Linked DNA regions of Macaca fascicularis. The protein of the gene in region 1 interacts with the protein of each later gene in a biochemical or structural test. Links are inferred from orthologs where the notes say so. Each region holds a gene or a part of one and is shown in the gene's direction. Other genes may lie near its edges.

Region 1 (3,503 bases):
CTGAGAGCTGGGATTACAGGCGTGAGCCACCGCACCCGGCCAGGCTAGGTGTCTTAAATGCATTTTCAGTTTCAACTTACAATTGGTTTATCAGGATGTGGCCCCATGGTGTTGAGGGACATGTGTATTAACAGTCTCCTTAGTGATTTTTTTTTTTTTTGAGATGGAGTCTCTTACTGTTGCCCAGGCTGTAGTGCAGTGGCGCAATCTCGGCTCACTGCAACCTCCGTCTCCTGGGTTCAAGTGATTCTCCTGCCTCAGTCTCCCAAGCAGCTGGGATTACAGGCACTCACACCATGCCCAGCTCATTTTTTTGTGTGTATTTTTAGTAGAGACGGGATTTCACTATGTTGGCCAGGCCGGTCTCGAACTCCTGACCTTGTGATCCACCCGCCTCAGCCTCCCAAAGTGCTGGGATTCCAGGCGTGAGCCACTGTGCCCAGCATCCTTAGTGATTTTTACACCATAAAGTGTTGGAGCTCTAAGGCAGAGCCAAGGCTAGAGAACCAAGTATAGAGAATCTGGAGATATGGAGAGGGCTCTGATTGCCTACAAGGAGTTTGGACTTTATTGTGGAGGCAGTGCGGAGCCAAGGCAGGTTTAGAGTAGGAGAGGGTCCAAGCCTGTGGGTCACCCTTCCGACTTCCCTTTCTGAATGCCAAACACCTTCTTCATGTCCCCCGTGGGCCCCCTTTGTCCCTCCTACCCCAAACTAGCCCTCAATCCCTGACCCTGGCTCCGCCCCCAGCCCTCTGACGTCCATCATCTCTGCTGTGGTGGGCATTCTGCTGGTCGTGGTCTTGGGGGTGGTCTTTGGAATCCTCATCAAGCGACGGCAGCAGAAGATCCGGAAGTACACGATGCGGAGGCTGCTGCAGGAAACGGAGGTAAGGCGGGGTGAAGGCCTGCCAGCCCGCGTGGGGTCTCCACTGGCTCCCGGCACTGACCCACCACCCCCTCACCCCAGCTGGTGGAGCCACTGACACCGAGTGGAGCGATGCCCAACCAGGCGCAGATGCGGATCCTGAAAGAGACGGAGCTGAGGAAGGTGAAGGTGCTTGGATCTGGAGCTTTTGGCACAGTCTACAAGGTCAGAGCCAGGTCCTGGGGTGGGCGGCCCCAGAAGGTGGGGGCGGTGCCTGGAGGGGTGTGGTCGGCAGTTCCGATGGGAGGGGCAAGAGCCGGAGGCAGTATTTGGGGGAGGGCAGTTACAGCGGAGCAGAAGGGAACGGGAGCAAGCCCCAGGGTGGGGAAGGATGTTTGGAGCACAAGTAATGATCTCCTGGAAGGCAGGTAGGATCCAGCCCACGCTCTTCTCACTCACATCCTCTTCTTTCTGCCCAGGGCATCTGGATCCCTGATGGGGAGAATGTGAAAATTCCAGTGGCCATCAAAGTGTTGAGGGAAAACACATCCCCCAAAGCCAACAAAGAAATCTTAGACGTAAGCCCCTCTACCCTCTTCTGCTGACAGGAAGGACCCCATGGCTGCAGGTCTGGGCTCTGGTCTCTTCATTGGGGTTTGGGGAGATATGACTCCCGCAAACCTAGACTATTTTTTTGGAGACGGAGCCTTGCTCTGTCACCCAGGCTGGAGTGCAGTGGCGTGATCTCAGCTCACTGCAACCTCCACCTCCTGGGCTCAAGCGATTTTCATGCCTTAGGCTCCTGAGTAGCTGGAATTACAAGCACCTGCCTGTTTTTTTTTTTTTTTTGAGACAGAGTCTCGCTCTGTCACCCAGGCTGGAGTGAAATGGCGTGGTCTTGGCTCGGCCTCCCAGGTTAAAGCAATTCTCCTCCCTCAGTCTCCTGAGTAACTGAGATTATAGGTGTGAGCCATCACGCCCGGCTAATTTTTGTATTTTTAGTAGAGATGGGGTTTCACCATGTTGGCCAAGCTGGTCTCAAACTCCTGACCTCGTGATCCGCCTGCCTCGGCCTCCCAAAGTGCTGGGATTACAGGCGTGAGCCACCGTGCCCGGCCTAATTTTTGTATTTTTAGTAGAGACGGGGTTTCACCATGTTGGCCAGGCTGGTACTTTGGGCATTCACAGGCCGTGAGCCGCGGCTGTGGTTTGTGATGGTCGGGAGGCTGTGTGGTGGTTGCGAGGCTGTGTGGTGTTTGGGGGTGTGTGGTGGTTGGGAGGCTGTGTGATGGTTGGGAGACTGTGTGGTGTTTGGGGGTGTGAGGTCTCCCATACCCTCTCAGTGTACCCTTGTCCCCAGGAAGCATACGTGATGGCTGGTGTGGGCTCCCCATATGTCTCCCGCCTCCTGGGCATCTGCCTGACATCCACGGTGCAGCTGGTGACACAGCTTATGCCCTATGGCTGCCTCTTAGACCATGTCCGAGAAAACCGTGGACGCCTGGGCTCCCAGGACCTGCTGAACTGGTGTATGCAGATTGCCAAGGTATGCACTTAGGGCACCTGGGCTCTTTGCGGGTCCCTTTGGAGCAAGCCCCTATGTCCACAAGGGGCTAGGATGGGGACTCTTCCTGGGCATATGACCAGGGCCAGGCCCTCCCAGAAGGTCTACCTGGGTGCTTCCCATTCCAGGGGATGAGCTACCTGGAGGATGTGCGGCTCGTACACAGGGACTTGGCTGCTCGGAACGTGCTGGTCAAGAGTCCCAACCATGTCAAAATTACAGACTTTGGGCTGGCTCGGCTGCTGGACATTGACGAGACAGAGTACCATGCAGATGGGGGCAAGGTTAGGTGAAGGAGCAGAGGAAGTCGGGTGGAGTGGGGTCTGGCCCCTGGGAGAACTCTGAGTGGCCACCTCCCCACCACACACAGTTGGAGGACTTCCTCTTCTGCCCTCCCAGGTGCCCATCAAGTGGATGGCGCTGGAGTCCATTCTCCGACGGCGGTTCACCCACCAGAGTGATGTGTGGAGTTATGGTGTGTGGTGGGGAGTGTTGGGAGGGGTGGGTGAGGAGTCATGGCTGGAGGGAGGATGAGAGCTGGGATGGGGAGAATTATGGGGCCACCTCAGCATGTGGAGGGAGGGAAGGGGCTGCCTGTGCCCCACCTTGCAGGGTCTGTGCACTTCCCAGGATTAGGGAAAGACTGGGTAGATTCTGTCTCCTGGCATCACATCTCCCCCCTGCTGCCATGATGCCAGACTCCTGGGCAGAACCTCTGGCCCTCCCACTCCTGACCCTGTCTCTGCCTTAGGTGTGACTGTGTGGGAGCTGATGACTTTTGGGGCCAAACCTTACGATGGGATCCCAGCCCGGGAGATCCCTGACCTGCTGGAAAAGGGGGAGCGGCTGCCCCAGCCCCCCATCTGCACCATTGATGTCTACATGATCATGGTCAAATGTGCGTGGCTGAGCTGTGCGGGCTGCCTGGAGGAGGGTGGGAGGTCCTGGGTCGAGAAGCCCACAAAGGGCATGAAAGGGGACCAGGATGTATGTAGACCCAGGAACCCTGGTATATTAGGAGCCTCAAAACCTTCTCATATCCCTTTTACAGTCAAAGTCCAAAGCCACTCTTGA
Region 2 (4,458 bases), on another chromosome or scaffold:
TCTCTCTCTCTATCTCTCCCTCTCTCTCTCTCTCTCTCTCTCTCTCACACACACACACACACACACACACTCTCTCTCTCTTCTGTGTTTATACACACTCTCCCTGCCTCTCACCACATCCCAACTGACACATACTTCTCCACCAAACAGCCCTCCCCACCACACCTCTTCCTTTCCTAGACAGGAGGGATATTCCGGGTTCTTGCTTTTAAGGCTGAAGTAACAGTGGTGGGAGTGGGGACTGAACCCCAGGTTGAGGAAGGGTCAGGGATCCCTACCAGACAGAGAGATTGGAACTGATAGAGGATACTACTGTTTCTCTTGTTTTTAAAAATCTTTTTCCACATGTTCTAAGATACTGTTTTTCTTTTTTCTTTAAAAAAAAAAATCATTTTCTGCAACAAAACCCACATTCTTTTTTTTTTTTTTAAGGCAGGGTCTTTCTCTGTCACCCAAGCTAGAGTGCAGTAGCTCAATCACAGCTCACTGCAGCCTCGACCCGCCTGACTCAAGGGATCCTTCCACCTCAACCTCCACAGTAGCTGGGACCACAGGGGTACAACAGCACACCCAGCTAATTTAGAAAACAAAAGATGGTGTCTCCCTATGTTGCCCAGGCTGGTCTGGAATTCCTGGGCGCAAGCAATCCTCCCACCCAGCCTCCCAAAGTGCTGAGGTTACAGGCTGAGCCACTGCCCCCTGCCCAGTTTTTCTAAAACTTGGGTGTGTGGGGGAGGCTGACACCCTTCCCGCTCCTCTGAAAGGCAGTTGCCTAACAGAAAGGTCCTCTGCTGCTCACTGCCCTGTGTCCCCAGTGCCCAGCCCCTGAGGAAGGGAAGGCATGCTGACAGGGTCCAAGTGATCCATGTCCAGTGGCTCTGGTGACAGCAGTCTGAAGTCAACTGGCTGTGAGAACTCGAGTAAGGCCAGTCCCGATCTGGTCCTCAGTGATGGAGAAAAGCCCCTCTTAACCTCCAATTCAATGATCCTGAAAGAACAGGTGCTTCAGGGGTGCGAAAACTGCACTTTTGGAGGGGGCCTTTGGGAAGGCCGTGCTGGGGACTCAGGTCTGGAGGGTGACAGACCTGACCTCCCGTAACCTGGGGAGGAGGAAGGTGGGGGCGGGTGGGCCTGGGATCTGAGGGCGCCTCCTCGCTGCGGGCAGCTGGCTTGGGGCTGGGGCGTGACTGTCTCCCCGCCACCACCACCGCCCGCCCGCCGCGACTGCAATAAGAGAAGTCCGAGGCGGCTTCCTCCTCCCTGCCCAGCAGGGGCGGCGGTCAGAAGCGGGCAGCACCCCAGTTCTCCCCGCACGCCGGCACTCGCGGCTGCTGGAGCCCCGGCTGGCTCGCTCCGGGGCCAGGCAGAATTTGGCTCCAGGTAAGAGACCGCGTCGGGTGGGGGCTGGGCAGGTCAGGCAGTGCCCTCCCCCTCGGGGCTCTGGGGAGAGGACTGGGGGTGGAGGGGAAGAGAAGCCTGAACATGGGTGTGGGGGGACACCTGAGCAAGGTGACAGCCAAAGGGACCCCAGCCCGAAAAGGCCTAAGGAGTAAAACTGGCGACCTGGAGAGCAAGGCTGATAAACCTGGGGGAGAGGGCGGAGGGGAGCACCGGGGAAGCCGACCAAAGGGACCCCAAAAAGGTCTAGTGGGTAGAATGGAGGGGACTTACGAGAGTTTAGGAAGGGGGGCTAAGACAGGCGGGGGAGAAGGACTAAGGGGAACCCCAGGAGGGTCTGTGGGAGAAACTGGAGGGATCGTGAGAGTGGGACTTCGGGGAGAAGCCGACGGGTCTGATGGGTCCGGGAGAAGGGAAATGGGTGGGGGTGCTGGAGGGAACAGGTGAGGAAGCTGGCGGGAAGAGGGTCGAGGAGAACGATCTCTGGAGGACGGAGAACCTGAGGTGCAATTGCGGGTCCAGGAAGTTCCCCTTTTCCGAGCCGGCCGAAGTCGGGGTGAAGCCCACAACCCGCAGGGTAACGTAGGCGGCCGCGACCCTCCCGGCCCGCCCTTGCGGTGGGTTCCGGGCTGCAGGGGACTCCTTCCCGGTGCGCAAGGCGTGGGTCCCCTCTTCCTGGGGAAGTCCCCGCCCTCAGCAGGGACTGGCCTCTCCGGGCGCCCCCTCCGCGCCCGCGGCGGTCTCGGCCCGCGCTCCCCGCGGGATCCGGGAATTGCTGCCTCCCCGACGGAAATCCTGCCTTTGACCGCCAGTGCCCGCAGGGGCTGCCTCCATGGCAACGCGAGGGCGGGCCGCACTGGGCCGCCGCGGGGCTCCTGGCGGGGGCAGCCCCCTTTGCTCTCCACCTTCGCCCCCTTTTTGAATCCTCGGTCTGGTGGGGGGGGGGGGGCTTCCCGACTTAGGAGGGCGCGATGCCGCTGTGTTTAGGGATCCTGAGTTGGAGGATCTGCTGTTTGAGAGACCTGGGTTCTTAGCAAGACTGGGCCCTTAATTGCTGTGTGACTGTAGACAAGTTACGGGGCTTCTCTGGGCCTCCTTTTCCTCATCTGAACTATGGGGAGAAATTATCCTCGTGTCCACCCTTCCCCCACGAGGATCAGGTGTAGAAAGCAGTATTTGCTGAGTGTCCTGAAGGGTTAAGGGCTATCCCTGACTCAGCGAGCCTCCCCTTCACTATCTCAAAAGCATGCAGAGGAGACCAGCCTGGGCAGCACAGGGAGACCCCCGTCCTGTCTCTACAAAAAAATATAGTTAGCCGGAAGGCCAGAAGTGGTGGCACCTGCCTATAGTCCTAGCTACTGCAGAGGCTGAGGCTGGAGGATCGCTGGAATCCACGAGTTCAAGGCTGCAGTGAGAGCTCCTGGGTGAGAGAGTGAGATTTTGTCTGTAAAAAACAGCAACAAAAAGCATGGATGAGGCCGGGGGCGGTGGCTCAAGCCTGTAATCCCAGCACTTTGGGAGGCCGAGACGGGCGGATCACGAGGTCAGGAGATCGAGACCATCCTGGCTAACCTGGTGAAACCCCGTCTCTACTAAAAAAATACAAAAAACTAGCTGGACGAGGCGGGGGCCTGTAGTCCCAGCTACTGGGGGGGGTGCGGGGGGCTGAGGCAGGAGAATGGCGTGGACCCGGGAGGCGGAGCTTGCAGTGAGCTGAGATCCGGCCACTGCACTCCAGCCTGGGCGACAGAGTGAGACTCCGTCTCAAAAAAAACAAAAACAAAAACAAAAAAACAGCAACAAAAAGCATGGATGAGGACCAGACAGCCCTGCTCTCACTGACAGGGCCTCCAGGGACCAGCGCTCAGTTGACATCTAAATAAACAGTCTATGGCTCTGATGAGGGCCCACACTGGGGAGGTCAGCAGAGTTGAAATCTGTCTCGCACCCTCTCTGGTGCCGCACCCAGTTGGCCACACCTCGGGTGTGTACTCTCAAGGACCCTGACGTCCTCAGCATCCTTCCGACTGTGGTGGTGATGGGAGAGCAGGACCCTGGTCCCACTTCACAGATGGGAAGATGGAGATTTGGGAGTTGGCAACCTGCAGGGCCAACAGTAGGGACCAGAAGTCCAGGACATCTCGTCTCTGATGTAGCCTGAGCTGAGGCCTGAATCCTTACCTCATCCAGACCAAGTTTCATGTCCCCACCAGGGAGGAGGGTGTGGGATTCCAGGGCTTCATGACCACTTCCCGTTCCAGTGAGTCGGTGCTCCCATGCCCTCCTCCAGTGAGGGTGTGAGTGTTTGTATGTTTTGGTCTCTGAGTGAATGAGCATGAACCCTTGAGCACACAGGTGGATGTTCGGGTGTTCTCTGCAGCCACCTGGAGCTGATGTGGCAAAGGAAGTGGCCAGACCTCAGGAGGCTGAGTAGGGAACCCCAGAGCTGGAGAAGTAGGGGCAGGGCTTTTCCCACGGGGAGCAGACTGGGCTGACCTAAGGTGGGAAAAGGCAGGATGTCCTCCTCACCGCCCCCCTCCCCTGAGGAACCGGGGACGGGGCTTCCTGTCTGGTCACACTGAAATCTAGACTCCCATCCCTCGCCTGCCCCTGGACACCCCCATGGCTCCCATCTCCTGAAAATCCTGAGTCCCAGGACAGATGGCACCTAAAGAGCTGTGTTTTAGAGGCTGGTGGGTGGTTTTCAGCAACAGGTGGAAAACAGCTTTTACCCACAAGAAGTGGAAAAAACTGCTGATGGCTTCGGGACCACATGGAGGGTAAAGGCTACCCCCAAACACCCCCTGCACACACCTGGCCTCACCATGGTGGTGGTGGAGTCACACAGGGTTGGGTGGGCATGTCTTCTTCAGGAGGCAGTTTCGAGGCCACAAGAAAAGATCGTGTGAGATGAAAGGTGGTTAATGAAGGCCAAGCACAGTGGCTCACACTTGTAATCCCAACACTTTAGGAGGCCGAGGTGGGTGGATCACCTGAGGTCAGAAGTTCAAGAACAGCCTGGCTATCATGACGAAACCCCGTCTCTACTAAAAATACAAA
Region 3 (4,521 bases), on another chromosome or scaffold:
TGAGACAGAACCTAGCTCTGTCTCCCAGGCTTGAATGCAGTGATACAGTCTTGGCTCACTGCAGCCTCCACATCCGGGGTTCAAGTGATTCTCCTGCCTCTGCCTCCCCAGTAGCTGGGATGACAGGTACCTGCCACCATGCCCGGCTAATTTATATATTTTTAGTAGAGACAGGGTTTCACCATGTTGACCAGGCTGGTCTCAAACTCCTGACCTCAGGTGATCTGCTGGCCTCGGCCTCCCAAAGTGCTGGGATTGCAGGTGTGAGCCACTGCACTCGGCCTCGTTTAGACTTCATTGACATTCCCCCACCCCACCCCTCTTCCCACATCCTCAGACGCTGTGCGAACAGCTTGAATCCCATGCTCAACAGGTCCTTCTCCTCACAACCCTCCATGGCACCCTACTGCCCTCAGAATAATTCCCAAAGTCCCCACCAAGACCTTCAAGACACCATTTGATGGGCCCACCTTTGAAACATCATCTCTTATCAGTATAGGTATCACCACTGCCTTTATGACTTTCTTCCAATGCACCACATGTATTCCCATCTCAGCACCTTTGCACATGCTGTTCCTTTGGCCTGGAATGCTCTTCCCTCAGACGTTATAGCACCTGGATCCTTCTTGTTGTGGGGGATTCTAAGCTCACATGTTAGTTCCTCAGAGGTGTCCTACGTGAGTCGCGGCTCTAAGACACCCCTTTCCCGCTCTCCATCCCATAACTGTTTTGTCATTGTCATAACTGATCCCTCTTACTTATTCGTGCCTTTATGTCCCCCCACTAGAATATCAGCTCCACGCAGGCAGAGATATTTGTGTTGTTCACTGCTGTGTTCCCAGCACCCAGAACAGTGCTCGGCACATAGTAGGTATTTCGTACCTATGCGCGGAAAGCAGATTTTTGTGGTCCTTTTCTTCAAGGCCATTGGACACCAGGAATCCTGTAGCAGACTGGCTCCCTTCCCCCATCTACTTAGAGTCTGGAAATCCCCACCTTATGGGGAACCCCTTCCTGTAGCTCTAAGGCCAGGACTGAGGCCGGTTTGTTTAACACAGAGCGCTTCCTGGAGCCAAGCCTCGAGATAACTGCTTTAATGCATTAACTCACTTAATTCTCACTGCCAGGAGAGTGGGTACACATTATTTCCATTTCATAGGCAAGGAAGTGGAGGTACGGAGAAGTCAAGTCATTTGCCCGGGTAGGAAGAGGGGGAGGCAGTGGAATGGAGACATTTGCTGCCCGGGAAGGCTTGAGGTGGCCCCTCCAAGCTGGGGGCGTGGGCGACTTGTTTCCTGTTGGGGGAGGGGGAGAAGAGTACATTCCTCCCTCCCCGACCTCCCACATGTTGGGGGAGAGGCTGGCTGAGAGCATGCCCCACTCCGGACTAGGGGGAACCCCACTGTCAGCCTCAGCTCCCCATGAGGCCGTGGAGAAAATGTAAGTAGCCCAGGGGCGAGCAGGGCGGTGGGCGCAGAGTCCACGGGAGCCAGCGGTCCGAGAGGAATTCCTGGAGAAAGATGCACCCCTCCTAGAATTGGGGGACAGGACGGGTGGCCGGAGGGAGGCTGGTCTATACGGGCATCGGCTGTAGCAAAGGCGAAGCTGAGGGCTGGGACCAGAACCCAAATCGGGGGCCTGGGGCCGTGGCGGGTCGGGTCAGCATGATCGCAGATAGTCAGGACCGGGCAGGGCTAGGCTCCCTCCCCCGGGCGATGATGAAAGCCGTGGTCGCTATTGCACTGCCCAGCCCTGCGGGCACTGATAAGGCCCTGCAGGAGGGAGTCAGCAGGGGCGCGCCCCCTGGAGGCCAGGCCGCTCGACCCCGCCCGCCCTAGGCCCCGCCCCTTCATCTGGCCCCGCCTCCAGGCGCTGAGGCACCTGGTGACCTGCCGGCGTTCAGTGGGTGGGGCTCAGGTCGCCCCGCCCCTCCGATCCTCCTTCCTTCTTTAGGCTGTGGGACGCGAAATAGGGTGGGCACGTGGTGGGCGTGGCTTCGCAAGGCCTCGTCTTTTTCCGGACCCGCGCCAGGAGAGCCCTCGGACCCGGGCAGCCGCGGACTAGCAGAATTGGCAGGCGGGGCCAGTCCTGGCTCCGCCCTCATGGCCCTCCCCTCCAGCCGAGTCTCCAACTCGCGCGCGGCCTGGGGCGTGGCTCCTGGTGTCCCCGCCCCTGCCCCGCCCCTGTCGCGGCCGCCCTCCCCCGCCGGGCTCCGCTCGCACAGCCGGTTCCTCTTTACATAACGGCGCGGGGCGGCATGGGCCCGGGCCACCGCCTCCGCCCGGCTGCCCGCCCGGACTGTCGTGGCCCGCGGTGGCGACGGCGGCCGCTGCAAAGTTTCCCCGGCGGCGGCGGCCCGGGGGCGCATCCTCCCGCAACTGTCAAGCGCTGGCGGCGGAAATGATGAGGCGCTGGCCATTTTCCGAGCCCGGGTTTCCTGCCTGAGCCCCGCTAGAGCGAGCCGCGAGCGAGGAGCCGGCGCGCGGGAGAGGACGCGCCCAGGGCGGGGGCCCGCCCGCCCCCTCGGGATTTCGGGGGCCCGGGGGCGCGCGACGCCATGGGCCGGCCGGGCCCAGAGCTCCTGTCTCTCAGGTGAGCCCGCGTTTGCCCGCGCCCCCCTCCTCCGGGGCCGGGAAGGCTTTCGTGGGGAAAGGGGAGGCCCCGTGTCCAGTTCTGCCCGGGCTGTGCGCGTCACCCCCAGCCCAAAATACTGCCCTGCAGCTAACTCAGATGGAGGCGTTCCGGGGTGACGGCTCCCAGCGCCTACGACCCCCACTCAGCCACTCAGCCACTACCCCACCCACACACGTGTTGGGGAGAGCGTTCGGGTAACTGCGGCCGTGGGATGGGGGAGAGGGCATCGCTGACGTCCCCAGCCCACCCTACAGTAGCCTCGCCGATTGGGGGCGGCCCTCCCCTCAACTTGTGCCTGGGGAGGAGGGGTGAGGGGTCACCCATTGCTACCCTGAAAGTGAAAGTAGTCAAACTGAGACCGTGAGCACAGATGAGCCCTTGGGTGTGGGGGCAGCGGGGAAGGATGCGCCGGTCCTCCCCACTCCCCATTCCGGACCATGTGGCTAAGAGGGTAGCGCCCTGATTCAGGAAGCCCCTCTCCCTAGTCCCAGCACTGCCGAGGTGGGCCGGGCCAGGCCCCCGCATGCTGCTGAACTGGGCGGTTCACCAGGGCTAGGCGTCCCAGACACAGGTTTCTGGGATTGATCCTCTCACACCTCTGGCCTGGGGTTCCCTGGGAATCCCCCGACCAAAAAACGTCTGGAGTGTGTGTTGGTCTTCTGGATCCACACGGTAGGGAGGGTATTTCAGAGGCCTCTGATGCCTGGTGCAGAAATCCCCTCCCCTCCCTTCCCTCCCTCCGGCCAGGGGAGCTTTGTTTTGAGGGAGGGGGACTGCATTTGAGGAACTGGAGAGGAGGGTCTTCCTGCCTGTCCCGCTTCTTTTTTTCTTTAGTTTCCTCATTCTCCTGTTTCTCTTCCCCATTCCCAGCCACAATGATGTAGGTGAGGAGGTCACTGCCTGCAGCTGGGGGCCTCCAGGGAGGGGTACGGCCAGGCTGGGCTGAGTGGGAGGAAGTGAAATCTGGTCGGGGGTTCCGAGTAGAGGCCCCGGCAAGGCGATGTCGGCAGGGCCTGCTTTGGTGGCAAGAGGGACCCAGATCTGACTTGCAGCCCCTCGCTGGGGAGATGACAGTTCTCTAACACCGGCCAGCAGCCAGGCCTCAGGGCCCCTGCCAGGGCAGTGGGCGGGTGGGTCTCCAGGGATGCAGGCGCAGGTTGTGTCTGGGTTTCCCATCACTGACCTGGCTGCCTGAGTGGAAACAGCTCTGGAGGCTCCTCGGGACCTGCCCTCGTGGAGGGAGAGCCGGCAGAGGCCACCTGGGCAGGCTGGGCTCTGGGGATGAGAACCAGGGCCTACTGGGGGAAGGTGGAAGGGTTTTTAGTGCACTTTTCTTGAGCCTTTTCCCACAACCCCCCTCTGGGAGGGAAAATCCTTCTGAGCCAAAGGGTGAGCATTCCTAGAACTTCTGTGAGTCCCCGTGGGCCACAGAGTGGCCAGCTGGGAAGGGGCTGGCCCGGAGCATCAGCAGCTGGGGGCTCAGGGTCTGCAGGGGCTCAGCAGGAAGCGAAGGAGGATAGTGAGGAGGGTCCTGGAGACTGTTTTGCTGCTCCTACTGCCTCCATTCAGCTGAAGGCGTGGGCAAGTGACTCTTGTGAACCTCAGTTTCCCCCTGTGTAAAATGGGGGAGTGACAGGTTTGCAGTGGAGATTTAATGAGCCAGTGTGTAATGAGCACCTGCTGCCTGGCAAAGAGTGGTTCAGTTGCAGGTGGTGGTGGTGGTAGTGGTGATTTTATCATCGCCTTCATTAGTGTTATTGTTATTGGCTATGAGGTGTTCCTTCAGCAGTCTTCCTTGAGCATCTCTTGCATACATAGCACTGGAATTTCCTGGGTCTTTGGCATCAGAATTTTGAACATCTGGGCACTTCCTTAGCTATGAGGCCT

The links. The genes of interacting proteins can lie anywhere in the genome.
Region 2: the proteins of ERBB2 (region 1) and FGR form a complex in vitro, tested with the Homo sapiens proteins (2 studies listed by BioGRID and IntAct, with this or other methods). The link is inferred for Macaca fascicularis from reciprocal best matches to the Homo sapiens genes ERBB2 and FGR.
Region 3: the proteins of ERBB2 (region 1) and SH2B3 form a complex in vitro, tested with the Homo sapiens proteins (2 studies listed by BioGRID and IntAct, with this or other methods). The link is inferred for Macaca fascicularis from reciprocal best matches to the Homo sapiens genes ERBB2 and SH2B3.

Annotation. Positions count from the first base shown.
Region 1 is NC_088390.1:60,785,620-60,789,122, forward strand, and holds part of ERBB2 (receptor tyrosine-protein kinase erbB-2), read left to right. Parts: intron 1-545; exon of another isoform or gene 546-748; coding exon 749-887; exon of another isoform or gene 888-967; coding exon 968-1,090; exon of another isoform or gene 1,091-1,344; coding exon 1,345-1,443; intron 1,444-2,225; coding exon 2,226-2,411; intron 2,412-2,557; coding exon 2,558-2,713; intron 2,714-2,828; coding exon 2,829-2,904; intron 2,905-3,180; coding exon 3,181-3,327; intron 3,328-3,503. UniProt on the Homo sapiens protein: Protein tyrosine kinase that is part of several cell surface receptor complexes, but that apparently needs a coreceptor for ligand binding. Essential component of a neuregulin-receptor complex, although neuregulins do not interact with it alone.
Region 2 is NC_088375.1:207,431,686-207,436,143, forward strand, and holds the start of FGR (tyrosine-protein kinase Fgr), read left to right. Parts: upstream 1-1,282; 5' UTR 1,283-1,380; intron 1,381-4,458. UniProt on the Homo sapiens protein: Non-receptor tyrosine-protein kinase that transmits signals from cell surface receptors devoid of kinase activity and contributes to the regulation of immune responses, including neutrophil, monocyte, macrophage and mast cell functions, cytoskeleton remodeling in response to extracellular stimuli, phagocytosis, cell adhesion and migration.
Region 3 is NC_088385.1:118,294,047-118,298,567, forward strand, and holds the start of SH2B3 (SH2B adapter protein 3), read left to right. Parts: upstream 1-1,345; 5' UTR 1,346-1,440; intron 1,441-2,237; exon of another isoform or gene 2,238-2,592; intron 2,593-4,521. UniProt on the Homo sapiens protein: Links T-cell receptor activation signal to phospholipase C-gamma-1, GRB2 and phosphatidylinositol 3-kinase.